Anolis sagrei: one gene and its partners. The protein of the gene in region 2 interacts with the protein of the main gene of each other region in a biochemical or structural test. Links are inferred from orthologs where the notes say so. Each region holds a gene or a part of one and is shown on either strand. Other genes may lie near its edges.

Region 1 (10,554 bases), on a different chromosome or scaffold from region 2:
GCATGTCTGCATATCTGCATGGGGCACCCTTTTACCTTCCCAATGAGGGAGTACCTATTGATCTACTCGCATTGCATACTTTAGAACTGCTAGGTTGGCAGAAGGTAGGGCTGACAGTTGGGAACTCACCCTGACTTGCGGCTTTGAACTGCTGACTTTCCGGTCAGCAGATTTCCTGCAGCTAGCGGTTTAACCCACTGTGCTACCGTGGCCCCTGGGTTTCTTATAGTGACATTTCCTAGAGATGCTATCTATGTTTCATTAAAAATATACAAAGATTTTTAGGCCCAACATCTGGAAACATTTTATATTTCTAGGCTTCTGTGTGCCCTCCACATTGTTGTTCAAGTTGTAAAATTGTCACAAACGAGGTTGGCGGGGACGAGAGACAGGGCCTTCTCAGTGGTGGCCCCCCGCCTGTGGAATTCACTCCTTGGGGAAATTAGATCATTGTCATCCCTCCTCTCTTTCAGAAGGAAATTAAAAACATGGATATGGGACCAGGCCTTTGGATAATCTGGCAGACTGACAATGGACAATGACGACTAAAGCTTTGGAAATGGACTATGATAAGCAGAATGAATTTATTAATTACAGACTTGGCAAAACGATGGCCACCAGGCTGGCATTTTATTGTATTTTTATTGTATTAATGTAATGTTTTAACTGTTATAATTTATTGTTACTATGTATTTTACTGTGTGAATTGTAGGCATCAACGTATGCCAGTTGGAAGCCGCCCTGTGTCCTCCTTCGGGGATTGAGAAGGGCGGGGTAGAAATACCTGAAATAAATAAATAATAAATAATTTTAGACTGGTAAATAGGAAGCATCCCTGTTAAATGAATGTGAAGGCTAATTTTTCTTCTCAGTATATCAACATGTCTTCATTCTACTTCTCTGAGAGCTGCTGCATGAGTTTGTGGATGGAATGTGTGAAATGGAAAAGATCTTCATATTTTGAATATAAAGTCTGGGCACTGGGCCAGGACAGAGATATGGCAGGTGCCAAGTTTTTGTAATCTTGGTGCAATTAGACCAACTGCTGCTTTCTCCAGCAAAAAAAGCACTGAACTTGGATGGAAGGCTATTTTCAGAGAATCTGTCAAAAGGGGTCATAAGGACTCAAGTGGTGATAGTGGAAATTCTCTCTCCCAGTGAGCAGAGGCAGAAGCATTTATTTATTTACTTACTTCATTTATATCCAGTCCTTCTCAACCACACAGGGGACTCAGGGAGGCTTACAACAACCTGTTTATTGAATCTTATGTTTTTATTTCCAAATGTTCTAACTGTCATGTCCCTGCCATCTGTCAGGGATATTTTGACTGTGCCTTTCCTGCATGGCAGGGGTTGGACTAGATTACCCATGTGGTCTCTTCCAACTCTATTATTCTATTATTCTATGTACAGGCATATGTCAGTTCAGGAAACAAGGCTATCAAAATCTGAGAATATGGATGCAGTGGTACCTATGGTATGATATAGTTAAAATTAAAGCTAACTTTACTAATAATTATGTTAGACAAACTGCTCACTGGAGGGAAAGATACTAGAGACAAAGTTGAAGTACTTTGGCCACATCATGAGGAGACAGGAAAGCCTAGAGAAGACAATTATGCTGGGGAAAGTGGAAGGCAAAAGGAAGAGGGGCCGACCAAGGGCAAGATGGATGGATGGCATCCTTGAAGTGACTGGACTGACCTTGAGGGAGCTGGGGATGGTGACGGCCGACAGGGAGCTCTGGCGTGGACTGGTCCATGAAGTCACGAAGAGTCGGAGACGACTGAACGAATGAACAACAACATGTTAGACAAAGTGTTTTTAGCATTCAAAGTTTCAGAAGTGCTCAGGAGTGCATTTGCACAACTAAAACCAGAGGCGGCCCTAGATAATTTTCAACGGTAAGCAAACAGTATTTTGCCCCCCCCCCCCCAAAACCAATCACTGATATATATTTTCTGTTCGTGGTGGGAGTTATGTGTGCCATATTTGGTTCAATTCCATCATTGGTGGAGTTCAGAATGCTCTTTGATTGTAGGTGAACTATACATCCCAGTAACTACAACTTGCATATGTCAAGGCTTTTTTCCCCCCTCAAGAGCGCCTCATGAGCGCCCCTGGGCAAAATCAACTATACTGCAAATGCTTACTTTGCGTAATGGGTTGAGCCGCCCCTGGCTAAAACTAATGTGCCAGTGATGCCTACTCCTTAAGACATCAGAGCTGGCTACAGTGACACGTGCCTGGATTGTATTCTCTTTGGAGCAATATAATGTGCTCCACATGGGTTGTCTTTGAAAACTGTTCAGAAACTTCAGCAGGTCCAAAGTATTGCTGCCAGAATGATGGCTGTGGTCAGTTATACGGAGCATATAATTCCCTTGTTAAAACAGTTGCACTGGTCATCAGTTCATTTCTGGGCCCAATTCATAGTGTTGATCAAGACCTATAAAATCCTCTGTGGCTTAGATCAAGACTAGTGAAAAAAATATGTCTCCTCACACAAGTCTACTATGGTTCTGACGAAGGTTTGCGCTCAGTCTCCCAACATTGCACACTCGCTTGGTGAGGACAAAATAGTCTTCTCAGTGGCTGCTGCCATCTTCTGCAGGAAGCTAGGTTTGCCCTTTCATTGTTTTTCTTTTCCCAGCAGGCAAAGGCCTTTTCGTTTAAGCAGATTTGAAATATATAAGCCAGGAAGTTTTTTTTTAGTAAGAGCTTTTATTTGTCTTTTTAAACTTTGTATGTTTTTTTACATTATTTTATTGTTTTATGTAGTGATTTAAATAGTTTTAAAATTTATTCTGGGAGAAGACATACAAAGGCATACAAATGAAGCTGATACACACATACAAACAGGCATCCATAATAATGTTGTTTGTTATATAGAGCTAAAAAAGATCTCCAAAGTAAGGGTGGCTTGTATCATATGAAATCAGGAAGATTCATAGATACATAAACCTCACTTGCCTAGTTTCCAACAGACCTCACAAACTCTGAGGATGCCTACCATAGATAATAATAATAATAATAATAATAATAATAATAATAATACTTTATTTATACCCCGCCACCATCTCCCCAAGGGACTTGGAGTGGCTTACATGAGGCCAAGCCCAACAACACATCAGTAAAAATAACAAGCAATAAGCAAATAAACAATACAATTAATATAACTCACATATAGACAATAATACAAAAAGATTTAAAAACCTATGGCCGGGCCAGACGTAATAGTTAAAATTTTAAAAATAACTAGCTGTGCCCTGCCACGCGTTGCTGTGGCCTATAGTAAAACTTATCAAAGTTGAGGTAGATATCTGGACTATTATGAAAGAGAGGTCCCTACCTATTCCTTCCCCCTTTTCCTCCCCCTTTCTCTCCTTTCTTCCTTCTCTACCTCTTTCTTTCTTTCCTTCTTTCACTACTTGGTTTCATCCTTCTCTCTTTCCTTCATTCCTTCCCCCTTTCTTCCTTTGCCTTTCTTCCCTCCCTGTTTGCTTCCTTCTTTCACTTTTTATTTCCTTTTATTTCACCACCATCATAACAATAACAATAATGCAATGCATTGCCTCCGGGACCTGACACCTCTCCCATCATTCCCCCTAAAAGGGTCTCATAGGAACAATAGCATAATAATAATAATAGAAATAACAACCTTTACCCGCCACGTGTTGCTGTGGCCAATCTTCCCTCCTTCTCTCCTTCTTTCCCTCCCTCCCTCCCTCCCTCCCTCCCTCCCTCCTTCCTTCCTTCCTTCCTTCCTTCCCATCTTTCCTTCTCCTCTTCTTTCTCTATCTCTTTCCTTAGTTCCCCCTTTTTCTTTCTCTTCTGCTGTCTCTCTTTTCTTTCCTTCCATCTTTCCTTTTCTTTCCTTTTCTTCTTCCTCTAACTTTCCTTCCTTCCCCCTTTTTGTTTACCTCCCTTTCTCTTTCTTCCTTCTTTCCTTCCTTCCTGTCTTTCCTAGATTTTGACAGGGCGGGAAGGGGCGGGGTGGGGTTTGGAGGTGGCGTGAAGTAAAAGGCGGTAAGATTGGGGCAGGGGAGTGATGGAGCGTGGGGTTGCGTGTGTGTGTGCGGCAGCGGGGGAAGTGATGGAGCGTGGGGTTGTGTGTGTGTGCGGCGGTGGGGGGAGTGATGGAGCGTGGGGTTGCGTGTGTGTGTGTGTGGCGACGGGGGGAGTTGGGTTGCGTGTGTGTATGCGGCGGCGGGGGGAGTGATGGAGCGTGGGGTTGCGTGTGTGTGTGCGGCAGGGTGTGTGTGTGTGCGGGAAGCGGCACGGCGGGGCTTGGAGTGGGAATGGTTTCCGCAGAGGGAACGTTGGCCGGAAGGCCATGTGCGCGCGCCAGGGAACTTGTGGCTGGGCGCCAATGCGCATGCTCAGTTGTTTTGCCGTTTTGTGAGTGTGTTGTTGTGTTGTTTTTCATTTTGAGTAGATATGTTTGTACCTTGTGGGGTGTGTTATGGGCACGGGAATTTTGGTTAAGTTTCGTTGGGGGATTTTTGAGTTTTGTTGTTTTGCTGTTTTGTGAGTGTGTGTTTTTCATTTTGAGTAGATATGTTTGTACCTTGTGGGTTGTGTTATGGGCACGGGGATTTTGGTTAAGTTTCGTTGGGGGATTTTTGAGTTTTGTTGTTTTGCCGTTTTGTGAGTGTGTTGTTGTGTTGTTTTTCATTTTGAGTAGGTATGTTTGTACCTTGTGGGTTGGGTTATGGGCACGGGGATTTTGGTTAAGTTTTATTGGGGGATTTTTGAGTTTTGTTGTTTTGCCGTTTTGTGAGTGTGTTGTTGTGTTGTTTTTCATTTTGAGTAGATATGTTTGTACCTTGTGGGTTGTGTTATGGGCACGGGGATTTTGGTTAAGTTTCGTTGGGGTTTTTTTGAGTTTTGTTGTTTTGCCGTTTTGTGAGTGTGTTGTTGTGTTGTTTTTCATTTTGAGTAGATATGTTTGTACCTTGTGGGTTGTGTTATGGGCATGGGAATTTTGGTTAAGTTTCGTTGGGGGGTTTTTGAGTTTTGTTTCCTCGTTGGATGCCCCTAACAAATTTATATATATAGATGTGGGAAAATTTTCAGGAGAGAATGCTTCTGGAACATGGCCATAGAGCCATGTTCCAGAAGCAACCCAATCAGCAACCCGATCAGCAACCTGATTGGGTTGCAACTCATAGCAACCCGATCAGACTCCCCTCCCCCCCCACAAACAACAGCAAGTCACTTGACTGAGAAATGAAAATATTTAAACGTTTATTTAACAATAATGGGATTATTTCTTGCCACAATAAAGCTCCTACATATGTGACTTTTTGAATGGTATGTCAAGATATTTTAGAACAGGTATTATTTCTTTCTTTTTATCTTAATTCTGTATGCTGTGGGAAACAAGAGGAAACTTCGTCCTAATGCCTTCCCCCAGACATCTTAAAATGAATATTGTTTGCTGGCAAGAAAATGATAAAGGAACATAATTAGGCAATGGTGACCGCAAAGAGGAACATGGATTCTTTTCTGGGTGCTATGTGCTTCTACCGACCATATGTACTTGTCTTATGTTTACAGAATATTCATTAGTGAAGAGCGCGGATAGATAAGAGACTGTGGTCAAGATAAGGGCAAGTGTATGGCCAATCTGCTTGATGATTCACAAGGGGCTAGCACTGGAAAAAACACGGCTGCAATGCAGCTTGAGAAAGTGGTCAGCCATTGGCATTCTGTGTTTGCATTTCAGACTTCAGTCAGCCTGCTCCCCTGGATCCTTACTGTATTATACCCTCGTTTAAAACAGGATTCATGAAAAATGTATTATTTCGGGGCCTTCACTCTTCTAAACATCATGATACCTTTGACAAGTGGGAAACCCATGGAAGCCCGGGACAGATTACTTACAACCCCAAACTCCCATGAATATTCTGGTGACATTGGGAGCGTGGAGGGAGAAGCCCAATTTGACTTTAAATCGTTTCTGGAGACTTTGAAAGCTGATTTCCTGAGGAACTTGAACTTGTCAGAAGTACCTTCAGAAGAGAAGATGAAAGAGGAACCACCACAATTCATGATTGATTTGTATAATAGATATAGCAAGGACAAGTCTACCAGCCCCATATCCAATATTGTGCGCAGCTTCAGTCCTGAAGGTAGGAGTTTTGGCTTTCCCCCACCCTCAACCCAAACATCTAGGCTAAGATCTTCCCCAGGCATCTTAGTGCCTTGTGTTCCCAGGAAATCTTAATTGTTTTTTTTAAATGCTCTACTAACAATTTTGTGTCATCTGTTTTCTTATATTATTTGTGAAATAGCCATTTAAAAAATCTTAAGGAGTTGGATGCATGAAACTAAGGAAAATAATATTTTTGACCTTATTTCTCCTCCAGCTCATTTAGATAGAAAGAAATTAATAGAAAAGAAAAAAAATCTGTGTAAAAACCATTTTCTCAGACTGGAACAATCTCCACATATTAGGAAAATGTCTAGTCCATATTAAATGACATAAAAGGAATCAATGTAATTTTCAGATGTTACAAAGGGAAATGTGAGAAAAGTTCTGCCTCAGTGGCCATAGAATAGAATAGGAATGAAGGCCAACCTTTCTGAGCTTTATGGCAGATAACAATGATCCCACCTCCAAACCAAAGAGTTATACTTTCAGCAGTGACCAAATTGAGATGCATCAAAAAGTTCATAATTAGTACAACTTATCAAGAAAGTACTCTTAGCTATTGGTAATTCTCTTTTGCAAACCACAGGAGGCAACTAGAAATATTTTCATTGCTTCACCTATGTGAATAGGAATACTTAAAAAAAAAACTCCAAGGGAATTCCACTTGAACATTAGGAAAAACTTCCTGATTGTGAGAGCTGTTCAGCAGTGGAACTCTCTGCCCCAGAGTGTGGTGGAGGCTCCTCCTTTGGAGGCTTTTAAACAGAGGCTGGATGGCCATCTGTCAGGGGTGCTTTGAATATGATTTTCCTGCTTCTTGGCAGGGGGTTGCTCTGGATGGCCCACGAGGTCTCTTCCATGATTCTATGAATATACCTTAATAATATCAGTATTAATCACAATCTAGGAAGAAGTGGAATAAATCAAAATTAGATGGCAGAACAATCAAAATATTATGGATTTAGCAATATTATGGATTTAGCAAGTATGCCTGCTGACAGAGAAAGGCCAGGAAGTCTTGAGGAAGGCAAGCAGGGACAGAGCTATCTTGGTCTCTCTTGGGAGGGGGTTCCACAGTATAAAAGCAGCCACCGAAAAGGCCCTCTCCTGTGTTCCCACCAAACACACTTGAGCAGGTGATGGTACAGAGAGAAGGTTGTCGCGTGTTGATTGTAGATGCCTCAGAGGTTCATAGAAAGAGATACAGTCCTTCAGATAACCTAAGACATATAAGGCTTTATAGGTCAAAACCTGCAATTTGAATGTATTAGCAGCCATAAGACCTGTTGTAACAGTGGAGTTGTACACTGCCTGTAGACAGTCCCAGTTAGCAGTCTCCCTCAGATAGCAGCGTTTAAAGCCCTCCTGGTCAGGTTTGTGTATTTCTTCACAAAAATCTTCCTGCTAATCTCTCTGAGGCACAAGCCATTCCTTGACAGAAGCTCAATGCAAGTAAACCATAGACCATGGACTCAGAAGCCAAACAGTTCCATCATCTGAGGATAAGGTTATTCACGTCTATTATCCTTTCCCTTCCTGGGTTGTTTCCTTAAAGTGGGAGGAAGATGAACTGGGATTCAAGGCCCATCCAACTTACTTCCTATGGCCTCATAATCCCATGTGATCTCTCAAAGGCTATTTCTTGTAGTGTCATTGGTTCCCACATGAACCAAAAGGAAGGAGTAATGGTCTGTAGGCTTTACAAGCCTTATCATCCTTTTGGTTACATCTTGGATTTTTTATCTAGGAAGACAGCACACTCTTGGGTCATCCTGTCACATCTGCAAACCACTGTTTCTGGTCCGCTATCACCATCACACATCTTTTGGCAGGGGTCATTGCATGTGCTGACTCTTCCAGGGGCATCCTGAGGAAATTGGTTGCTTCCACTATATTGGGTATTGCTGCAAGTAATGACAGTGTGAATAAATTGTCGAAATTTGCTTGAGATAGTGCTTGCAGTTCTGGAGGAACTCATTTAATTGTTGACAATGAAAGGGGGTTGCATTTTACATAAGCACAATATATCCCATCAGTGAGACTTGGGTACTCCAGGCTTGCATACATTACCCGTTTAGCCCACTTCCTGTCCCAAGGACTGAGATTAATTAAGTCTTTTTATATAGATTTGCAGTTCCAGATATACTTTAAGGGTTGATTTCATTTGATATAAGTCATACAATTTCATAAAAGTTGATTTCATACACAAGAGGAGATATAGCTGCCTGGACTTTTCCAGAGTTGAGGTGGAGAGGCATTTTGGAATTGCAAAATTGGTAAAATAAAAAATAAAATAAATTCATGTTTAATTCATCTCTGTTCATTTGTGTTTAATAAATTTCTCAATAACATTGTGACTTCCTTGGTGAAGTCTACTCATCTGAGAGACTATCTCTTTTTGTACTGCCCTCCCCTTTATCAAGCATTATTGTCTCTTCTTGTGGATCATGTCTTCTCAAAATATTTTATTTTAACCTGCTTCCTCCCAGGTTTTAAGTAAGTGTAGAAGGGCCCTAAGTCTCACTTTGGGATTTTTATTGTGCTTCAGCAGAGGTGGGTGTCTACAATGCATCCTACATTTTGCAGAACTATATTGCCCTGGATCCTGGATACATAAGGATCAGTTTCAGCATATTTTTTTGACTGAACACAAATTTCACTGGGACTTTTAAAGTGCTGTATCGCCTTTACAAATTGTAGCACACATTGCTATTTTAAGGTCATCGCAGCCTCAAGTTAGCTTCAAACCACATTATATGTTCAGTGCAAAGCACCCTAAGTTCTACCACTCTCATAGGTATCGTTGGTGAGGCCATAACAAAAAGCTTTCTCATACTATGGAAAGCTTCTAGCCTGGGTTCAACTCTGCTCTCCTACTGGCAGATAAACACCTTATGTGAAGAGTCTTGTGGGAGTACTGTTGATGGTGTTTTAATTCTTCTTTTGATGTTAATATGGCAATCGCTTTTTCCGGTGGAATAACCTATTGGTTATTACATTTATTCCCTTTGGTTTCTATTTACTTTATTATCTTCTATTTTCTATTGCTGTTCTAACTTACCATGGATCATAATCCCAGAGAAAAGTGGATAAAAAACAAATGAAACTAAATAATATTTAAATTAAAACAGCAAGCTATTGATCAAGGCACTGAAGATTCAAGACTAACATATACTTCCTGAGAAATTTCACATTATGGCAAGTAGTCATGATAATAGTGTTTATCGGTTTTCTTCTCCAGATATTACTTCTCTTTCTCCTCTGGAAATGAATCCATTTCAGAAATACATTTTGCTGTTCAATGTCTCCATCCCATGGCATGAAGATGTCACCAGAGCCGAATTCAGAATCCACACTGACTGTCAAAAGGGCACAAAGAGTTTGGTGAACTTTAAAGGAAATATAGCTGTGTATGATGTCCTTGAAGGAAACAACTGGGAGGAACCAAATAATGTCAAATCCGTCCTAGTCTCCAAAGAAATCCAAGAATGTGGTTGGACGATGTTTGATGTGTCTAGCACTGTGAAAAGATGGACTAAGGCAGACAAAACAATGAGTACTAATCAGCTGGAGATTGATATAGAGAGCGATGTTCAAAGTGATCTTACCTGTGGGAATGTACATACCGGTGTAACACCGAACTCTAACCATTTACCCTTGCTGGTTGTGTTTTCTAATGATCCCAATAACAGAATCAAAGAGAACTATATGGAACTTCAAGAAATGATTGTGCATGAACAGGAAAGCATGCTTAAGAATTTGGTAAAGAACAACACTGCCCATAAAGAGAACGCTTTACCTGTTAATGGAATCCATCATCTTCTGTCCAGAGGGAAACGAAGTGCCGAACATAATCACTGCAGGAGAACCTCTCTCCGAGTAAATTTCAAAGAAATTGGCTGGAATTGGATCATTGCTCCTCAAGATTATGATGCGTTTGAATGCAAAGGAGGTTGCTTCTTTCCTCTGACGGATAATGTCACACCAACCAAGCATGCTATTGTCCAGACCTTGGTGCACTACAAAAATCCCAAGAAAGCTGCCAAAGCCTGTTGCGTCCCAACGAAGCTTGATGCAATTTCCATGCTTTACAAAGATAATGCAGGGACCCCCACACTGAAATATCAATATGAGGGGATGAAAGTGGCAGAATGTGGCTGTAGATAGAGAATATCAGGGACCGCTCCATCACGTAAATATGAAATCATGCATGCAGAAAAATGTTACTTGTTTGTAAATAAATGTTTGATTATAAAGGGTGCTGGATTGCAGCTTCACTTCCTACTGGGCTTTCTCTTTTCTCTTCCCCATCCTACCTCCCCCACTACTTATGTTATATACTAACATATATACCCAGCACTGCCGGGTGTGCATATTGTTTGTGGCTCTTTCTC
Region 2 (10,018 bases):
TTGCCTACCACAAAACTTGGTGGTCTTCACCCTATCATGAGTCTGTATTGCTTTTGCTATGAAGACTAGAATGCTTCTGCCCCTCTCTCCTGTCCCAGCCAAAACCAAGCATTGGATTGTGCATGCAGAAACTTCAGACTTGTTCTGTAATGTAACAAGATATGCTATCTTTGCAGGATATACATCTAAACTGCAAAGGTTATTCAGCAATTACTTTGTTTAGCCAAGTACCTCTACTGTCTGAGTTTCCAAAAGATATTAGATAGGCAGATGCCAGAAATTTTTCTGATGTAAGAAGACAGACTAGATTGTTCTTGGGAACTTCCCAAGCCTGTGATTAATAATGGGTATGCTGTCAAACCGGAGGATAATTACCAACAACTATACAGAACACACAGTTGTTTTACTTCCTAAGAAGCACAAACCAAAGCAATTATCCTTAATCTTTTTAGCATGCTGTTTTTAGCATGCAAGTATTTCAACATTTTGGTAATTGGGTCATAGAAAAGGCATTTTAGCAGATTAAATCATGGAATAGTTTAATTATATTTGTTATATTCAATGTAAAAATCAAGAGCTAATTCTTCAAACGAAATAACTACAATAGAAAGCTCCAGTTTTAAATACCAATGACACAGCCAATGTTTACCTTACTAGTGTAAATATTCCATACATTTTAACTCACAATTTTCCAAGGAGACTTCTGAAAAATTTTAAAACCTTAAAAATTGTCAATCCCAACCAGAGCAAACATGTTAAATCAATGAGATTTATGTAAATGGTAACATATATTCAGCAACTGGACCTACAAGCAGCAACTAAATTTAGGTCTAAATATATAGCACACTGTTCTTCTGAAAAAAATTTTTTAGAATTATTCATTATTCATATTTATCCAATTTGATATCTGGGCAAGCGGATACCTCGGCAGCCACCTCTCCACCAAAGTCAACATCGACGCCGAAATACAACACCGCCTGAGCTCTGCAAGTGCAGCATTTTCCCGAATGAAGCAGAGAGTGTTTGAGGACCGGGACATCCGTAGGGATACCAAGGTGCTTGTCTATAAAGCTATTGTCCTCCCAACCCTGCTATATGCCTGTGAAACGTGGACTGTCTACAGACGTCACATGCAGCTCCTGGAATGATTCCATCAGCGCTGCCTCTGGAAAATCCTGCAAATCTCTTGGGAAGACAAGCGGACAAACGTCAGTGTGCTGGAAGAAGCAAAGACCACCAGCATTGAAGCGATGGTCCTCCAACATCAATTCCGCTGGGCCGGCCACGTTGTCCGGATGCCTGACCACCGTCTCCCAAAGCAGCTGCTCTACTCTGAACTTAAGAGCGGAAAATGGAACGTTGGTGGACAGGAAAAGAGATTTAAAGATGGGCTCAAAGTCAACCTTAAAAACTCTGGCATAGACACTGAGAACTGGGAAGCCCTGGCCCTTGAGCGCTCCAGCTGGAGGTCAGCTGTGACCAGCAGTGCTGCAGAATTCAAGGAGGCACGAGTGAAGGGTGAAAGAGAGAAACATGCCAGGAGGAAGGCACGTCAAGCCAACCCCAACCGGGACCGCCTTCCACCTGGAAACCAATGCCCTCACTGCGGAAGAAGATGCAGAGCAAGAATAGGGCTCCACAGCCACATACGGACCCACAGGGAAACCCATGATGGAAGACCATCTTACTCATCCAACGAGGGATCGCCTAAGTAAGTAAGTATCTGGGCAAAATAATATTAAAAGGATACTACACAGATTTCAAAAGTAAGTCCTCATTAACTTGTTCTATGTGACATTTGTTAACAATCACAAAAGATTCTGAAATCTTGAAGATCTACTTTAAAAATTAACACATCCTTAAGCCTATTTCTTCAATGCATTTAAAGTAATTTTCCACAGTATTTGCTTCTCTATTGAACAAATGCACTACAAATTCAAAAAAAAAAAGAGAGAGAGAGAACTAAAAGAAAGTAATATGGTGTTAGGCAGATGTTTTAGGTTTCTAACAGAGGAATACTCTACCTACTCAACAATAAGTTTCACTGACTTCAGTAGAACATACTCTCAAGTAAGCATGTATATTATTACAGCCTAAGCATTTGGATAAGTGCATGCAGGAAAGATAATTAAAAGCATAATGATGTCTCAGCACTTCAGAGAGTTCTTTTATTTCTATCTCCCAAGCTACAGTGTGCCACTATCAGGCTTCTCCACAGTACCAAAGCATGAACTATACTCCCATTCCTTGTCCATGTATGTAGATGTAGAACAAAGCTAGTAATGAACAAAACCAACAAGATTAACATCACTCAGTGTGCAAATATATTTCAGATATTGCATTGTGCACCAGAACTTATATTTATGTTCAGCTGACTATTTCATGGCAGATTTTGTCAAATAATTTTCTTTAAAATCCAGATGACATATATTGTCTCGCATGTGTTTAAAACATTGTATACAAAGAGTAATAATCATTTATTTATTTATTTACAACATTTATATCCCACCTTTCTCACCCTGAAGGCGACTCAGGGCAGCTTACATAATTGGCGTTATTCCATGCCCAAACAACAACAACAATTAAAAGCAATTAAACAAAAATTTAAAACAACATTAAACAACATATGTAAAGAATAGACGACAATCGTGCATACATCCAAAGCCAGATAATCAAATAATCATATTCATCAAGCCAGGATGAATTCCAACTGTATTGCACAGATAATTATGCTGGGTCAAATACTTGCTCTCAAAGAGGAGATTTCACTTGTTTGCGAAATGACAGGAGGGAAGGGGCCGATTGAATCCTACTAGGGAGGGAGTTCCACAGCCCAGGAGCCACCACTGTGAAGGCCCTGTCTCTCATCCCCACCGGTCGTGCCGATGAAGGTGGCAGAACTGAGAACAGGGCCTCCCCAGAAGATCATAACCTCAGTGATGGTTCATGGAGGGAAATGTGTTCGGATAGGTAAGGTGGGCCGAGGCCATTCAGGGCCTTATATGCCAAAGCCAGCACTTTGAATTGTGCTCGACAGCAAACCTGCAGCCAGTGAAGCTGGTGCAACAGGGGAGTTGTGTGCTCCATATATGCAGCTCCAGTTAGCAATCTGGCTGCCTCGCCTTGGATTAGTTGAAGCTTCCGAACAATCTTCAAAAACAACCCCATGTAAAGCGCGTTGCAGTAGTCTATACGAGATGTAACCTGCACATGGACCACCATGGCCAAGTCTGACTTCCCAAGGTACATACATAAAGAACTAGTAACCTCACTGTTGTGAATAAAGATTTGATACTCATGAAATTGAATATTTTTTCATTGTGTTATATTGTCATTCCACATCATAAGAGACCTTGAGACATATCTACAATGAGAAACATACAACAACAAAAATTGTTCACCCAAACCCTGCAAAATAGAAACCAGCACCTGGTAATTATTCCCATTTCCAAGAGAATGATGCAGACATTTTAAAGGGACAGATCTGAATATTGGCCAGCCGCACCCCCTTCTTTTGTAGCAGCCTAGCTGTTACCTCTAGAACCGGTTGAACCAATGTATTGAAATACACAACCATTCCTTTTTTTCCACTGGGGCCACATCCACACAGCTGAATAAAATCCCACATTATCTGCTCTGAACTGGGATATATGTCAGTGTGGACTCAGATATTCCAGTTCAAAGCAGATTTTTGTGGGTTATTCTGCCTTGATGTTCTGGGTTATATGTCTGTGCAGGAGGGCCCTGGAACGAAATGGGTTTTAAACCCGGGTAATCCGGTTTAATTCATGAGCAGATCATGCTGCCGGGTTACACCCACTGGCTACTTACCAGCCGCAGTGCTGAGGAGTAAGGTGGCACTGGCGAAGAGCAGCACCCGCCAAAGGTGCTGCAGCAAGGCAGTCATATTTGGAGGGACCCAGGGAAGGGGGCCTGATGGGCGCGATTTCCCTCGAAAACAAGGCCAACTGGGAGGAACCCTTCCGGCCGCCAGAGAGTCGACAACCTTCCTGGTTTACAATCCAGCCGGGAAGGGCAAAGGCGAGGTCTGGCCAGGAGCCGCCCGAGCTCTTCTGACTCCACGACGCGAATCTGCCTTCATCTTTCAGGGCTTCACGGGAGGGGGGTCCTCAAACCAGTATGGGGGATCCTCTCCCCAGATACAGGACCATCCCTGCGAGGCTGGAAAACCCAGATTAAGAATTCCCACGCGTCTTCTTCACAGGATCAATGCCCCGCTTTGGTTTCCAATGAATCATATCCAGAGGGGAATGAAGAGGATGGTTGAAGACTGTCAGGAGAAGCAGCTTCCCTCAAAGGGAGGTTGAAAAACACGAAGAACACCCCCCACCACCACACACAGGAAAATATATTACAAGGATATTAGTGTGTATCGTAGATATAGATATATAGATTCTCTCTATATATACATAGTATTACAAGGAGGAGAAAGAGAGGAAGGCGCCTCTGTGCTTCTTCTGTGAGGGAGGCAATGAGCAAATCAGAGCTGCCCTGTCCTTGGCTTCAACCAGCCCAAAAGAAAGCAAGGCCCATTTTTGGTCCTCCACAGAAAGGACCTCTTCAGTTGCAAGTCGGGGGAAAAAAGGCCTCCTTTTCTTCTTCTTCCCCTTCTTCCGCTCAGCTCAGCAGAGGCCTCTCCCTCACACAGGTCCCAACAGCGCCAGGCCGAGCCTTTCTTTCTTTCTTTCTTTCTTTCCTTCTCTCTCCCTCACAGTCCCGTCGCCTCCTTTCTTCACAGGCTCGCCTTCCTTTTTGGCCGTTTCTCGAGGCGAATAGTGGAGTCTCGCGCAGCCCCCCTCGCGCGCGCGCGCGCATGCGCCCTCCCTCCCCCACCGCGCGCGCTACCAAAGCTGCTTTTTTTTTCCTATTCCTTTTCAGACCAGACACAAAGGGGAGCCGCGGCGAAACTGGCAGTCTTTCTGTGCCCGGCCCGTGGGCGCCACGAAGCCCCGCCCCCTTCGCCGCCAGCGCCGCCGACGCCTCTCGCTTTGGCCACGCCCCCTTTCCTCCTCCCTCCTCGCGCGCCTCCTTCCCTTCCAACTCCTCCCTCTCCCCTTCCAGTTCCAGCCTAGAGTGGCGGCACGTAACGACGCTCTCCTCCCAGTTTTTTTTGTTTTCCGCGCCCCTCCCGCACCGCCATGTTGCGAAGAGTTCCATGTTTGCCAGATCGGCGGCCTGGAGGGAAAGTGCGTGGGAAGGGCAGGAGGAGATTTTGTTTTGCCTCCCCTTTGGGTTTTTTTTCCCCCATCTCCGTGAGAAGGCGCCTTCTTCAACCCTAGGATGTTAATTGGCTTGAGGGCCTGATTCACATCTCAAGATTGCTTTTTGTAAAAATCTCAAGCATTGTATATAAGATGTATCCATGCCAGGCATGGGCAAACTTGGGCCATCCCTCCAGGTGTTTTGGACTTCAACTCCCACAATTCCTAACAGCCAGGCATGGGCAAACTTGGGCCATCCCTCCAGGTGTTTTGGACTTCAACTCCCACAATTCCTAACAGCCAGGCATGGGCAAACTTGGGCCATCCCTCCAGGTGTTTTGGACTTCAACTCCCACAATTCCTAACCGCCAGGCATGGGCAAACTTGGGCCATCCCTCCAGGTGTTTTGGACTTCAACTCCCACAATTCCTAACCGCCAGGCATGGGCAAACTTGGGCCATCCCTCCAGGTGTTTTGGACTTCAACTCCCACAATTCCTAACAGCCAGGCATGGGCAAACTTGGGCCATCCCTCCAGGTGTTTTGGACTTCAACTCCCACAATTCCTAACCGCCAGGCATGGGCAAACTTGGGCCATCCCTCCAGGTGTTTTGGACTTCAACTCCCACAATTCCTAACCGCCAGGCATGGGCAAACTTGGGCCATCCCTCCAGGTGTTTTGGACTTCAACTCCCACAATTCCTAACAGCCAGGCATGGGCAAACTTGGGCCATCCCTCCAGGTGTTTTGGACTTCAACTCCCACAATTCCTAACAGCCAGGCATGGGCAAACTTGGGCCATCCCTCCAGGTGTTTTGGACTTCAACTCCCACAATTCCTAACAGCCAGGCATGGGCAAACTTGGGCCATCCCTCCAGGTGTTTTGGACTTCAACTCCCACAATTCCTAACAGCCAGGCATGGGCAAACTTGGGCCATCCCTCCAGGTGTTTTGGACTTCAACTCCCCCAATTCCTAACAGCCAGGCATGGGCAAACTTGGGCCATCCCTCCAGGTGTTTTGGACTTCAACTCCCCCAATTCCTAACAGCCAGGCATGGGCAAACTTGGGCCATCCCTCCAGGTGTTTTGGACTTCAACTCCCACAATTCCTAACAGCCAGGCATGGGCAAACTTGGGGCATCCCTCCAGGTGTTTTGGACTTCAACTCCCACAATTCCTAACAGCCAGGCATGGGCAAACTTGGGCCATCCCTCCAGGTGTTTTGGACTTCAACTCCCACAATTCCTAACAGCCAGGCATGGGCAAACTTGGGCCATCCCTCCAGGTGTTTTGGACTTCAACTCCCACAATTCCTAACAGCCAGGCATGGGCAAACTTGGGGCATCCCTCCAGGTGTTTTGGACTTCAACTCCCACAATTCCTAACAGCCAGGCATGGGCAAACTTGGGCCATCCCTCCAGGTGTTTTGGACTTCAACTCCCCCAATTCCTAACAGCCAGGCATGGGCAAACTTGGGCCATCCCTCCAGGTGTTTTGGACTTCAACTCCCCCAATTCCTAACAGCCAGGCATGGGCAAACTTGGGCCATCCCTCCAGGTGTTTTGGACTTCAACTCCCACAATTCCTAACAGCCAGGCATGGGCAAACTTGGGGCATCCCTCCAGGTGTTTTGGACTTCAACTCCCCCAATTCCTAACAGCCAGGCATGGGCAAACTTGGGCCATCCCTCCAGGTGTTTTGGACTTCAACTCCCCCAATTCCTAACAGCCAGGCATGGGCAAACTTGGGCCATCCCTCCAGGTGTTTTGGACTTCAACTCCCACAATTCCTAACAGCCAGGCATGGGCAAACTTGGGCCATCCCTCCAGGTGTTTTGGACTTCAACTCCCACAATTCCTAACAGCCAGGCATGGGCAAACTTGGGCCATCCCTCCAGGTGTTTTGGACTTCAACTCCCACAATTCCTAACAGCCAGGCATGGGCAAACTTGGGCCATCCCTCCAGGTGTTTTGGACTTCAACTCCCACAATTCCTAACAGCCAGGCATGGGCAAACTTGGGCCACCCCTCCAGGTGTTTTGGACTTCAACTCCCACAATTCCTAACAGCCAGGCATGGGCAAACTTGGGCCATCCCTCCAGGTGTTTTGGACTTCAACTCCCCCAATTCCTAACAGCCAGGCATGGGCAAACTTGGGCCATCCCTCCAGGTGTTTTGGACTTCAACTCCCCCAATTCCTAACAGCCAGGCATGGGCAAACTTGGGGCATCCCTCCAGGTGTTTTGGACTTCAATTCCCACAATTCCTAACAGCCAGGCATGGGCAAACTTGGGCCATCCCTCCAGGTGTTTTGGACTTCAACTCCCACAATTCCTAACAGCCAGGCATGGGCAAACTTGGGCCATCCCTCCAGGTGTTTTGGACTTCAACTCCCACAATTCCTAACAGCCAGGCATGGGCAAACTTGGGCCATCCCTCCAGGTGTTTTGGACTTCAACTCCCACAATTCCTAACAGCCAGGCATGGGCAAACTTGGGCCATCCCTCCAGGTGTTTTGGACTTCAACTCCCACAATTCCTAACAGCCAGGCATGGGCAAACTTGGGCCATCCCTCCAGGTGTTTTGGACTTCAACTCCCACAATTCCAAACAGCCGGTGGGAGTTGAAGTCCAAAACACCTGGAGGGATGGCCCAAGTTTGCCCATGCCTGATCTTAACACTGGAATTAATGCAGTTTTGCTGCTATTATTATTATTATTAAACTTTATTGATACCCCACCACCAGACATGTAGCGGAGGGAGGGGCTTGAGGGGCTTCAGCTCCCCCCCCCCCCAAATTCTCATGGTGGTCCGCGAGAAGGCCTTATTAATTCTATACTAATCCCAGCGTACCTGTCTGAACATATATCCCTCTACGTCCCACCTCGGAGTTTAAGATCTTCCGGGGGGGTCCTGCTCTCGGCCCCACTTTTATCACAAGTGAGACTGGTGGGGACGAGGGACAGGGCCTTCTCGGTGGTGGCCCCTCGCCTGTGGAATTCACTCCCCGGGGAAATTAGGTAATCAACATCCCTCCTCTCCTTCAGGAGGAAGTTAAAAACCTGGATTTGGGACCAGGCCTTCGGGTAAGCTGGCAGATGGACAAAAGACAATGACGACCAGAGTAGGAAAGGACAATGACAATGCTGGATGGATTATGGATTTATAAATCGGCAAACATTGACCACAAAATGATTTTATTGCTGTTATTGTATTGATTTGATTGTTTTAACTAGTAATAACTGTTGATGTTAAATTGTATATTGTATTTTGTGAATTGTTAGGCATCGAATTGTGCCTTTGGTAAGCCGCCCTGAGTCCCCCCTAGGGGGTTGAGAAGGGCGGGGTAGAAGCACTCCAAATAAATAAATAAATAAACGGTTCTGGCCCAGTTTACCTGTCTGAACAGATTCTCCCCTATGCACCATCAAGGTTGCTAAGATCTTCTGGAGGGGCCCTGCTCTCGGTCACACCACACTCGCAATCGCGTCTGGTGGGGACGAGAGAAAGGGCCTTCTCGGTGGTGGCCCCTTGGCTGTGGAACTCTCTCCCAATGGAGATTAGATCTGCCCCTTCCCTCCTGATCTTCAGAAAGCTAGTGAAATCCTGGCTCTGGGACATAGCATTCTCAGAACGATTGCGGAGTTCAGCAATAACCTAATAACTACTGACCACACTGGCGGATTGAGATGAACATGATTTTATCTTGGCGATTTGGCATTATGTATTTATTTTGTTTGTATTTAACTTATTGTGATGTTAGTATGTTTTTAGTTGTATTTGTGTATTGATTTTCTGCTGTTAGCTGGCCTGAGTCCCTCTGTGGAGGTTGAGAAGACTGGGGTTTACAAGTTTTAAATAAATAAATTACTGGTACATTATTTAAACTGTTGTGTTTATTCATATCATGATCTGATCACCATGCTCAATCTATCCCATATGCACGGGGGTATTGGGGTAACGATACAAAAGGTTTGCTAGGGTAGACCCTCTTTCACTCAGACTCAGCCCCCACCCCCCCAGGTTGCATAGGACCGTAAATAGAAAGGTTGAAGCAAGACCAATTGGGAGTCAAAAGTACCAACTACAGTGTCATATAAAATCCACATTGCCTCACCTACACTGCCATATAGAATCCAAATTATCTGCTTTGAACTGGATTATGAGTGTAGACTCATAATCTAGTTCAAAACAGATAATGTTGACTATTTGCTTTGTTAACCTGGATTATATAACAGTGTAGAAAGGGCCTAGGTTGGCTAGTATTGTATGCCTTTAGGTCATTTCTGATCTATGGTAACCCTACAGTCAATGTATCATAAGGTTTTCTTGCCAAGATTTGTTCAGAGGTGGTTTGCCTTTTCCTCCCACTGAAGCTGAGAGAATGTGATACACCCAAAGTCATCTATTGGATGTCCATGACTGAATGAGGCTTTGAACCCTGGTCTCCAGAGTCATAATCACACATCCAATCCACTACACTGGAGCTGTATACAATGATAGCAACTAAAGCTGAGAGTTACTGGCTTGAAGTCATTTGGTTAAATCACATTTAAGCAGAAGTTTTCCAGTTCAAACCATCAGCTGCGTTTTTACAACTAGCTGTGTGTTCACGGGGCTCCCATGTCCTTTATAGAAGTGTTTGCTGCATCCTAATGTATTATACAACCTATATATTGTAATGTATATACAGGGGAGTGTTGCCCTTTTAAAATAACATCTTCAAAGAAATAGGGTAAGTCCAATGCATTATGCAACCAACCTTAATATTCAGAGTTTCATTACGAAAATGAGCTA
Region 3 (10,141 bases), on a different chromosome or scaffold from region 2:
TGGTGTTTTGCAAAGATATCAGGATTATTTTCAAGTACATGTGAAATGAATGCATATGCTGACAATGAACACTGAGGATTAATCCTGTAGAGAGGGATTAACATTATTTAGGCTTTCAAACTACCAGTGTTAAGGAACCTATTGGCATTAGGTTTGCCAACGTCCCTGTAAATTCAAAACTTAATATGATATGAAAATCTAAATGTCCTTTGAGGAAGATGTATTACATCGTCTTGCTAAGAGGTTATCCAGGCATGGACAGGTATGCCATGCTATTAAATTATGGAGAAATTAGAGCATAAACTGATGCCAGAATGATACAATGAGGCTTTTTAAAGCCTGCAGCCTAAAGACTGAGGGGCAAAAAGGCTGAGTGGGAATAACACCTTATCTTGCCCTGTTTCACTCACCAAAATATCTTAGGCCACCACTAGGTCTAGTAGTAGCAAATTAGTGCTACAATGTGTCCAGAATAAAGACATACAATAAGTGAAATGTTATTCTGCTTCTTCTGTGAATGAATTCCAGTTTTTATCAAAAACATATAGCCTGAGCCTATCAGCTAGTTCACTAGTTACAAGCACAATCTTGCTACACTCGTGCAATGGCATAACCTATGGCTTTGCCACATGAATTTATATGGCATGATTGTGCCAAGATATTTTAGAGCTCTTATGCTGGCAATCACAAACATCTCCAGATGTGTCACAGCTGTTCAGTGGCACAGAAATGGATTGACAAGGTGCCCAGTGGAAGAATAATTGAGGATGTGACCGATTATAATATCACTATGCATAGGGGCATTTCCACCACTACAGAGCCCAAAGCATTGGGCAATCATCCATGTCCAAGGTTTGGTGGTTTCCTTGCAGAGGTTGCAGCTGAGAGGCTGCATAGAAAGTAGACATGCATAACTAGCCAGCATTGAAATACAACTATAGCTATTGTCAGTGCAACCCCCTTTGGGTAATAATACAGTGCTGGTCCATAGAATTGAAGTGTTCAAAGTTCATATATTAAAATCAGCCGCTGGGAAAAGCTTTGTCCAGAGAGCCACGTGAAAGGCTGTGCTGCTACCTACAGCCACATGACTCCACTACCATGTCTTCATATTGTTTGTAGACCACATTATTGGCAGAGTCAATAAACAGGATGCTAATGGGACTCAGCCTTGTTGGCACGCAGCAAGTTGGAGGCGTTGACTCTGGATCCATAGAGTTCATTAATGTTTGGATAACAGCATGATTGGTCGGTTCCAGATGAGACCGAAGAGGGAATTCACAGAGTCCTTCACAATGATAAGCTTCATACTCAAGAGGTGCTATTATCCAGTCATCCCATCCCATATCTTTAAAATTTACATGCAGTGCTTTTTTGCTACATCTTGCCTTCAGATTCTTGTTGGGCCTCTTTCCTTGTCGAGTTGCTAGAGGAGCCCTTCTCTTTCTTCTTTGATTGAATAGGTATTCATAAACAGTTTTGTCATCCTGGCCAGATCTGGCTTTGATTTCATTGAAGAACAAGTCTCTTTTCTTTGTCCTACCAAACACTAAAAACAGAGCCTTTTCATTGACTTGCCTCCCTGTTCTATTAAACCCCACAGTCCTTAAATCAACAGGCCTCCCCCTTTCAAAAGCTTCCAGTTCAAAACACAAGTTAGCAGAGTTTTTAAAATTCCTAAAAAGTTTCCAAATGTCAAAAACTTCCCATTTTGCAGTATCTAAGATATTGACAGTTCGAGAGTCCAAGAGGATGGACGCTTGCCGGTTTGTGGAGCAACTGAAAAGTTTCACTTGGCATGTTTTCCCATGAGGATGAGGCTTCCAGGTATCTGAAGGTTTTTTCCTCAAAATACGAAGTTCTGCTCCTAGTAAGCCGTCTTTTTCTAAGGCACTGATATCAAACATATATTTCTGCTTTTTTACAGTGGGAGCTCGGTCATCTAAAGAGAAAAGAAGGAAGACATTCATGTATCTCAGACAGAAATTTGCTTTTTGTTTTCAGCTTTTTGAAACAACATACAATGTCTACAGTTACAGTAGAGTCTCGCTTATCCAACCTTTGCTCATCCAACGTTCTGTATTATCCAATGCAGTCTGCCTCCCACCTGCATCCACAGCTATTACAATACATTATAATGTTTTGGTGCTAAATTCATAATACAAGAATTACTACCTAACATTACCGTGCATTGTACTGATTTTTCTGTCGATTTGTTGTAAAACATGATGTTTTGGTTCTTAATTTGTAAAATCATAACGTAATTTGACGTTTTAATACACTTTTCCTTAATCACTTATTGTCCAACATTTTCACTTATCCAATGTTCTGCTGGCCTGTTTATGTTGGATAAGTGAGACTTTACTGTAATTTGAAATGACACATTAGCTCTGTTAGGAATTAGAAGTTTACTAGAATATTCAAGTTCAGACATGGAAATATTTCTGCTTCATCGTCAGGAGCCATTTCCTCCACCACATTAAGGTTAATCAGTGAAAGTTAACTTATACTCAAATATATGTAAAATTATTGTACTAGGCTGTTAATGAGAGTTTGTGGCTTTCTTTACTAGTAATGCATTATGATAAATGAATGGAGACAACCCTGGCAGACTGAAAACAAAATAAAATAGAAAGTCACACATCAGTCAAGCATGTTTAAAGTTTGAAAATAAAGCATCTAAGCTGTACCATCACCTAAAAAGATATTTGCCTTACCATATTTTAAATCTTGACAACCAGCCCCTTCACGACCTGTATATTGCATTGCCATCCAAAGTCTTCATGGTACTTCATATACAGCCTTGCCTTTGTTTACATACTTCCAAAACTTTTACAGTGAAAATGAATGCATGAATCTGTGATGGATGAAAGCTACTTTCCATAATCAAAGTTGTATGCAGCCCACCTTCCAGTGACACTTGTCTGGGAGCACTGTGCACTCAGCACTTGATCCAGAGCTTGGAAAATGTGCTTTCTTAGACTCTATCATTATATTGACTAGCTGGGAAATTTTGAGAGTTCCACTTCAGAAAAAAACTAAAATTTTGAAGCTCTGATATAGGTTACATAGACTTTGTGAAGGTCTAAAAAAATACAAATGGTCTCATAAATTCCTCTACCAGTGTTATCGTCACTACTTCATCACACTAGAGAATGGATCCACTTTAAATCCAGTTTCTGCCTCTTACAGAATTCTGGGGTTTATAGTTTAGTGAGGCTGTTAAAGGCTCCTCCCTAAACTACAAACCCTAGAATTGTGCTGGAGGCAACAACTGGGTTTAAAGTGGATTCAAGAGTAAATCACATGTATATTTACCAAAGTATATTTAATTTCATTTCATTTCTACAGATCCCCCCCCCCCAAAAAAAAAAAAAAGATTTAGAGGTGGCCTGATTCTTGTTCTTCTTAAGTCCGCCTTTATAGTTAAAGCTTGAATAGATATTGATTGATCTGGTCTTGCTGCTGGAGAAGTAATTGTTTAGATCCAAACTTAAAGAGTTGAACCCATTGAAAGTTTCATATTGACTAAAGTCCCAGCGATAATGCATCTAGATACATTCTGTCGCCATCATATTTTTTTTGATGCACATTCCACAGAATATATTATTTTTAAATCCTTGTGCCAAATAGCCTTAAAATTACTAGTAGTATACAGTAACGGCATAAACCATCTACAAAATCCCAGTTCTGATGCTGAAAATGCTCTTTAAATCTGCATTGTAAACATGAAAATGTGTGCAATCAGCCACGTTTTACATCTTTCCATAAATACAAAAAAAGGAAGCATTCATATTCAACAAATGCACATTAATATATCTCCAAACATTAGCTTTTCTTACCTTGTCCCTTGTCTATGAAGCTTGTGATTGTATTGGCAAGTCCGGTCTCCAGTTTCACACTTCCGTTCACACCTTTTCTTTCCGCATCAGACAGAGTCCTGTATAAGGAAAGCATGTATTCGTGGGGTGTGATAGCAGGATGTCTTAATGACTCTTTAGATTCTCTTTGGGCAATAGAGTCTTTAGGCTTTTTGTTTTTATAAGAGCTGGCATCAGAATTCCCTGTGCCAGTTTTCTTCGGTGGGGCTTTGGGGCCAAAGTTCTGAACCTTTGGAGTCACTGTTCTCACTCCAGTTTGCCTGTTTGGAGGATGTCCTCCTACCTTTTTGTCTGTGCTCCCTGCTTTAGGGAGAGCCTTCTTTGAGTCATCAGTTTTTGCCACGAGAGTTCCAGCTTGAGCAGTGTTGGTTTTTGTCCTTGGCTTGGAATTCCCAGTGCTATATCCATGGCTTCCCGTTCTAAAGGTACCTGCCCTTGGCAAAGGGTTCCTCTCTTTTCCATCTACTTTTGATACAGCTAATTTGGCTCCTGGATTCCCTTGACTTGCTTCAGCAGGACTCAACACTAAGGAGATGAGAACGAGATGAAACCAACAAAAGTGCCAAAGCAGTAAAGTAAGAAAGTGCAAGATTTTCATCCTCTGGTCTTCCTTTGAATGCCTCCAAAGAAAAATTCAGAAAAGATTCCTCTTCTAGTTTGGCATAAGAAAACATGAAAGAAATTGAAAACCAAAGTCAGCAGGAAAAGCTTTATTTTCAGCTTAAAACACTTTAAATCTACTTGTCCAATCTTTGTATCCAGTCCCATAGTGGAGATGCTCATTTACTCCGTTCCGTCTTCTCCTGGTTTCTGCTAGCAGCCTGTTCTTGAAAAGAGAAAGTTTACTACCCCCCTTTCTTCTGTAAAAGTGACTAAAAACTTGAAGGACTCTTGTTTAAATCGGAGAGGGTTTTTTTTTCCAAGAAGGAAGAATGGCGTAATGCTGCCTCTGTGTTAAAAGGTTTTTAAAAAAGTTTTGAATCCCTTCCAGTGAAAATATTTCACACACAGAAACCTGCAGGTGCTCAGAAATCTTTTACAAACCTGAACTCAGGAATTGGAAGCGGAATTCCAACAAAAACCTATTTAATTACTCTCTGATGTCATGCTGTCTAAACTAATTTAAGTGTGATATATTTCTTTTAAAAAGTCTTCTTTGCCCTTTCCATTAGCATGAGTCATACCCTGCTTCATGTAAAATAACTCTGTAGGACCAAAAAATCTATAGAATATGCAATTTAAAGTGGCAACATGTTGCCTATTTTAGCCTTAAATGAACTTCTCATTTGAAACAAGACAGAGTCACATAAGATAAAACAGTACACGCTTTTAGCAAGATCATGTCTAAATAACAATATTGATCTCTGTGAATAATATCTAATTCACAGCTGTTTTTATAAAGCTCTGAACATAGAACCCAGTATTTTCTCAGCAGCAATTTCATTCTTTGGGTTGGTGATGACAGCACAGAAGTGAACAAGAGTATTAACAAAATGTAGTCATCCCTGCTAAGCATTTTAAAACATTATGACACACTGAAACAAGAAAAAAAATAATCTGATACATTTCCAGGGAATATATTGTATATTCTGTTATATTAATATGTTCCCTGGTTGACTTTGGAAGTCCATAGACATTCATTGTTAGGCAGCAACATTTGTTCCAGGAACATGGACCTTCTATACACTGGAAGCATTAAGGGATCTCAATACCATATTCTGGAGCTAAATCCTATTATCTTAAATAACTTGGATACAAATGTGATATTTGGTTTAAAGGCTTATCACTCTTTCCAGTTTTCGACTACTGAATAATGGGATGGACCACATAAAGAAGGGATAGAAATGCCTTAAAGAGAAGAAGGAGGGAAGGAAGGTAATGAGCAAGACAGAGAGGAGAAGGTGACACAAGGTGTAAAGGAAGTTGATGTGGTAGCACAAAGAGGAAAGGGAAGGTGGATGGTGCAGTGCAGAGCGTAAGGAGTGGATAAGGAAGGAATGGCAGCAGCAATAGGCAAGGGCCAGAGAAATGAATGGGACAAGGTAGGTGCACTGAAAGGGAGAAAAGCAAGATAATAGTAGCTCAGGTTCCCAGGAAGAGCATAGTGGTGTAATTTATCACTCCTGGTACTCTCTTCCTTTGATAGCCAGCTTATGAGAGAAACTTGTGGCATAATGTAAAATAAACCACATGTAGTTCACATTTAATCAGTCCACACACTGCCTTGCCAGATAAAGAAAATATGAACAATAAAGAACAAGTAGTTTACTCTTTGTAGTTCATAACAACATATGTACAGTCATGTGATCAGTTACATCAGTTCACATAATGTGCTTTTATGAGAGATTTAAAATAGTCTTTCTTTGTCCATGTGGAGAAACTCCTTTAGCAGCTCATAAAGCAAGAACACACTCTAAATGCTGTCTCTCTCTGCTTCTCTCTTCTTCTCTCTGCGTCTCTCAGAGCACCTGCATAGCTCAAGCCTGAAAAATGTAACAGTGACCAAAAATCCCAGGCTTAGCTTGTTCCCCAGGCACAGCCCGACCAATCAGCTTCATACATCTTATTTTACCATTAACACACACATTAACTGATTTCTTGCATGCTGTAACGCAACTCAGAGGAAAGCAGAAGCTGAGAAAAGGCCAGAGGTGAGGATGGATGGATGGGTAAACAGATCGAAGCTTACTGAGTCAGATTATTTTGACCTGAGATTTTGGAGGAACAGATTCAAATGTGGAAGGACTAACTCTACATTTATTTAATGTAGTCAGTGGAGGTAGGCTGGCCACTAGGATCACCATTTCAGAACTATCTCAGAAACACAAGTCCATAGGCCAAAATCTGGGACCTAGGAATGGTCTTTGGTGGTGTCAAGCATTATGCATTAGGTACCCATGATAATTACTCACACACTATATTATGCTGTTTAGAAATATAGGGAAAAAAACTTTGCTAAAGGGGTTGTAATTAAATCAATGTGAAATTAGGTGGTTAGGATAAGGAGCATAAGAAATATTTAAGCCAAAAGATGGATGCAGAATGGAGGCTAAATCTTGATGCCAGGAGGGATGGTGGGAACTAACTAAATACATAGACACCCCCCACCCCACGAAGAATGTTTGCAAGATGCATCAACAGTACAACCCTTGCAAATTCTAGGAAACTGCAATTCTACTATTTAAGATAGTCTGGTGCTGAGTTCACCAAAACTGCAGAATTTGTACCCTCGTGTCTTGCTTGGAAATAACCAATGAAAATTTGAGGCTTAGGATCAGATGCTGAGATTTGGCAACCCTATTTGTCATACCAGATTAATATTTTGTTTGATTCTTTTTAATGAAACCAAATACTTTCTGAGTGTAACAGTGTTACTCTGTTGGAGCAAAACAGTAGTGTCTACTTGCAAGCTTTAATAAGTTTTATTTGCCATAAAGCTTTGTAAACTGCAGCCCATTTCAACAGATTCATGAAGTGTTGTCTCAGCTGACAGATGATTACACACATTGTTGGATGGGAGCAGGTCATTAAGTGAGGTGAGAGGAAACTGAAATATTAAAAGTACAAACATCAACTGGTAATTAATCACGAATAGCTGGGTGATGGCATGGAATTCTTACCACAAATAAACTGATTAGTTCATATATTGTGAGGAAACAGGGAACAGGAAAAGGAAAGTTAAATTCTATTCTATTCTAGTAGTTACAAAAAAAAATTCTGCATTTCTGAAGGAAAACTCACCCTGCTTTTTCCTCCTGCAACTGCTTTGTTTTTTTCTTACCTTCCTTTTCATTTCCTCCTGTGAATCAGATGGCAGTCAGTCTCAATTACTTTTTGTGATTGTACCTTTTTGCTATCAATAAAAATAATTATGGCGAAAAGATCCAGTGATTGAGAAGGGTCATGCATGATATCATCATTATCATTATTTGAAAATTAGAATGCAAATTAGTAATGTAAACTGTGAACATACAGACATGCACATGTATATAAGCATAGATAAGCAGGTAAATATATGCATAGTGTAGAAAAATATTTGGCTAGTACATTGGCACAGAAACAGTAAAATGCCATCAATAAGCTTCTTTTTTGTGTGTCAGGAGCGACTTGAGAAACTGCAAGTTGCTTCTGGTGTGAGATAATTGACTGTCTGCAAAGACGTTGCCTAGGGGATGCCTGGATGTTTGATGTTTTACCATCCTTGTGGGAAGCTTCTCTCATGTCCCCGCATGGGGAGCTGGAGCTGACAGAGGGAGCTCAACCCACCCTCCCCAGATTTGAACCGCTGACCTATCAGTTAGCAGTTCTGCTAGCACAAGGGTTTAACCCACTGTGCCACCGGGGGCTCCATCAATAAGCTGGCATGGGGAGAATCCTATCGTTACAAATGTAACAGTGATTAAAGTCATATTTAAATATATGCCATTAGCCAATAAAAATTGTTTGCCTTCATATCTCCATTAATGGACTGGGATTTGTGAATATATACCCGTTCAGCTTTTTTTCTTTTCCATCTCCATTAAAAGTGTTCTGTTAATGAACTGTACCTTGGAGGTCTGGGATGGAATGACCAACAACGTTGAAATATTCTTCCACCGTTTTCTTGGTATTTCCATTTCTAATATCAGAATAAAAGTGATGATTTGTGGCGGGGGATGACAATTGCTTCTCCTGTAGTTCTGGATACTTCTAATCCTTCCAAGATGGGATCTTGGGAAATTGCTGTGCAAAAAAACCTTCACTGTGCTCACAGGTGACTTCACATACAGAAGCAAGCTCCAAAATGTGTTAATGCTTTGCCTAATTGTATATATATTTTTTTTAAAAAATATTTTGTTACTTTCAACGGCTCTCTTGTGTTTTTCTTTCTGTTCAGGTTTCATATTCCAGAAATGGGTCTATCAATATACTAAAATTTCTCCCAGACTTTGTTAGGGGTGTGAATAAATAACAATAACTGTAGGTAAATATGTTATTGGATGCACCAACTATTGCTAGGTATTTAACTTTTAGTTCCTTAGTCCTGTAATAGTAACTTTGTTCAGCTATATCTGCATATCTGAATTTGTTTCAGGTGTGTTCCATTCCATATTATATTGTTGTATTCTGTATTTCAACACACTGTACAGAGCTTAGAGAACTTTAGCTAATGGTGGTTTTAAAGTGCAACAAATATATAAATAACATAGGACACACTCTCTCTCTCATGCATAGGTAAAGGTAAAGGTTTCCCTTGATATTAAGTCTAGTTGGGTCCCACTCTGAGGGGTGGTGCTTGTCTCCTTTTCTAAGCTGAAGAGCTGGCATTGCCCGTAGGTCATGTGGCTGACATGACTTTGAAATGGAGCGCCATTAGCTTTCTGCCGAAGTAGTACCTATTGATCTATTCATATTTGCATGTTTTCAAACTGCCGGAGCTGGGGCTAATAACAGGAGCTCACTCCATCTCAAGGATTTGAACTGCTGACCTTCCAGTCAGCAAGTTCTGCAGATTAGTAGTTTAACCCACTGCACCATCACAACCCTTTGCATGCATACACAAAGATAAAAAAATAAGAATATTTCAGAAAATATTCTTGTTTAGAAATAAGACATTTTAAAATATATATATTTGTGTGTGAGATTTTTCCCCTTAAATTTTAAGGCTTAGATATTTGTCCCTTGCAAGGAATTGATGTTGACCATGATCAGAAGCTGAAATGTTTAAAAGAATATACATCAAGCACTAATTTTCTTACTAACAGTACTTCAACAGCATGACCGACCAGCATGATTTCCATTGTACAAACAGAGCCTGCAGTTCTCAAACCACTAATGAGCTATATAGCTTTTTGTGCTGACACAGCAATTTAAGGACTGAGCAATTTTACAGAAATTAAAGCGAAGGGAGTTTCTGCAGTTTGACAAAGAACGCTCTGAGCAAAGCTCACACCGATGCCCCCAAACCATGAATTCCCCCAGAGACAAGACTATATCCAGCCCTTTAGAATTATGATAGTCTAAAGGGCTGGATATAGTCTTGGAATATGGAAATAAGTGTATCTTTATCTCTCTCTTTCTCCCTCTTTACTTCACGGATGTGAACACATATAAGGAATTAGAGTATATCTACAATTAAGCAACATGGTGAGCACCACAAAATGTGACAGAAGCAGAGGTGACAGAAGGAGGGAAGTGATGTGACAATAAGCTTGAGAGCAATAGAGGAAAAATAAGTACAGTAGACTCTCGCTTATCCAACCAATGTTCTGTATTATCCA

Evidence for each region.
Region 1: the proteins of BMPR2 (region 2) and GDF2 form a complex in vitro, tested with the Homo sapiens proteins (2 studies listed by BioGRID). The link is inferred for Anolis sagrei from reciprocal best matches to the Homo sapiens genes BMPR2 and GDF2.
Region 3: the proteins of BMPR2 (region 2) and GDF5 form a complex in vitro, tested with the Homo sapiens proteins (2 studies listed by BioGRID and IntAct, with this or other methods). The link is inferred for Anolis sagrei from reciprocal best matches to the Homo sapiens genes BMPR2 and GDF5.

The regions. Positions count from the first base shown.
Region 1 is NC_090023.1:142,235,302-142,245,855, reverse strand, and holds the start of GDF2 (growth/differentiation factor 2), read left to right. Parts: upstream 1-5,646; 5' UTR 5,647-5,800; coding exon 5,801-6,137; intron 6,138-9,401; coding exon 9,402-10,327; 3' UTR 10,328-10,554. UniProt on the Homo sapiens protein: Potent circulating inhibitor of angiogenesis. Signals through the type I activin receptor ACVRL1 but not other Alks. Signaling through SMAD1 in endothelial cells requires TGF-beta coreceptor endoglin/ENG.
Region 2 is NC_090021.1:165,346,826-165,356,843, reverse strand, and holds the start of BMPR2 (bone morphogenetic protein receptor type-2), read right to left. Parts: upstream 4,982-10,018; 5' UTR 3,908-4,981; coding exon 3,832-3,907; intron 1-3,831. UniProt on the Homo sapiens protein: On ligand binding, forms a receptor complex consisting of two type II and two type I transmembrane serine/threonine kinases.
Region 3 is NC_090024.1:206,778,660-206,788,800, forward strand, and holds the start of GDF5 (growth/differentiation factor 5), read right to left. Parts: upstream 4,909-10,141; 5' UTR 4,480-4,908; coding exon 3,843-4,479; intron 1,943-3,842; coding exon 1,074-1,942; 3' UTR 1-1,073. UniProt on the Homo sapiens protein: Growth factor involved in bone and cartilage formation. During cartilage development regulates differentiation of chondrogenic tissue through two pathways.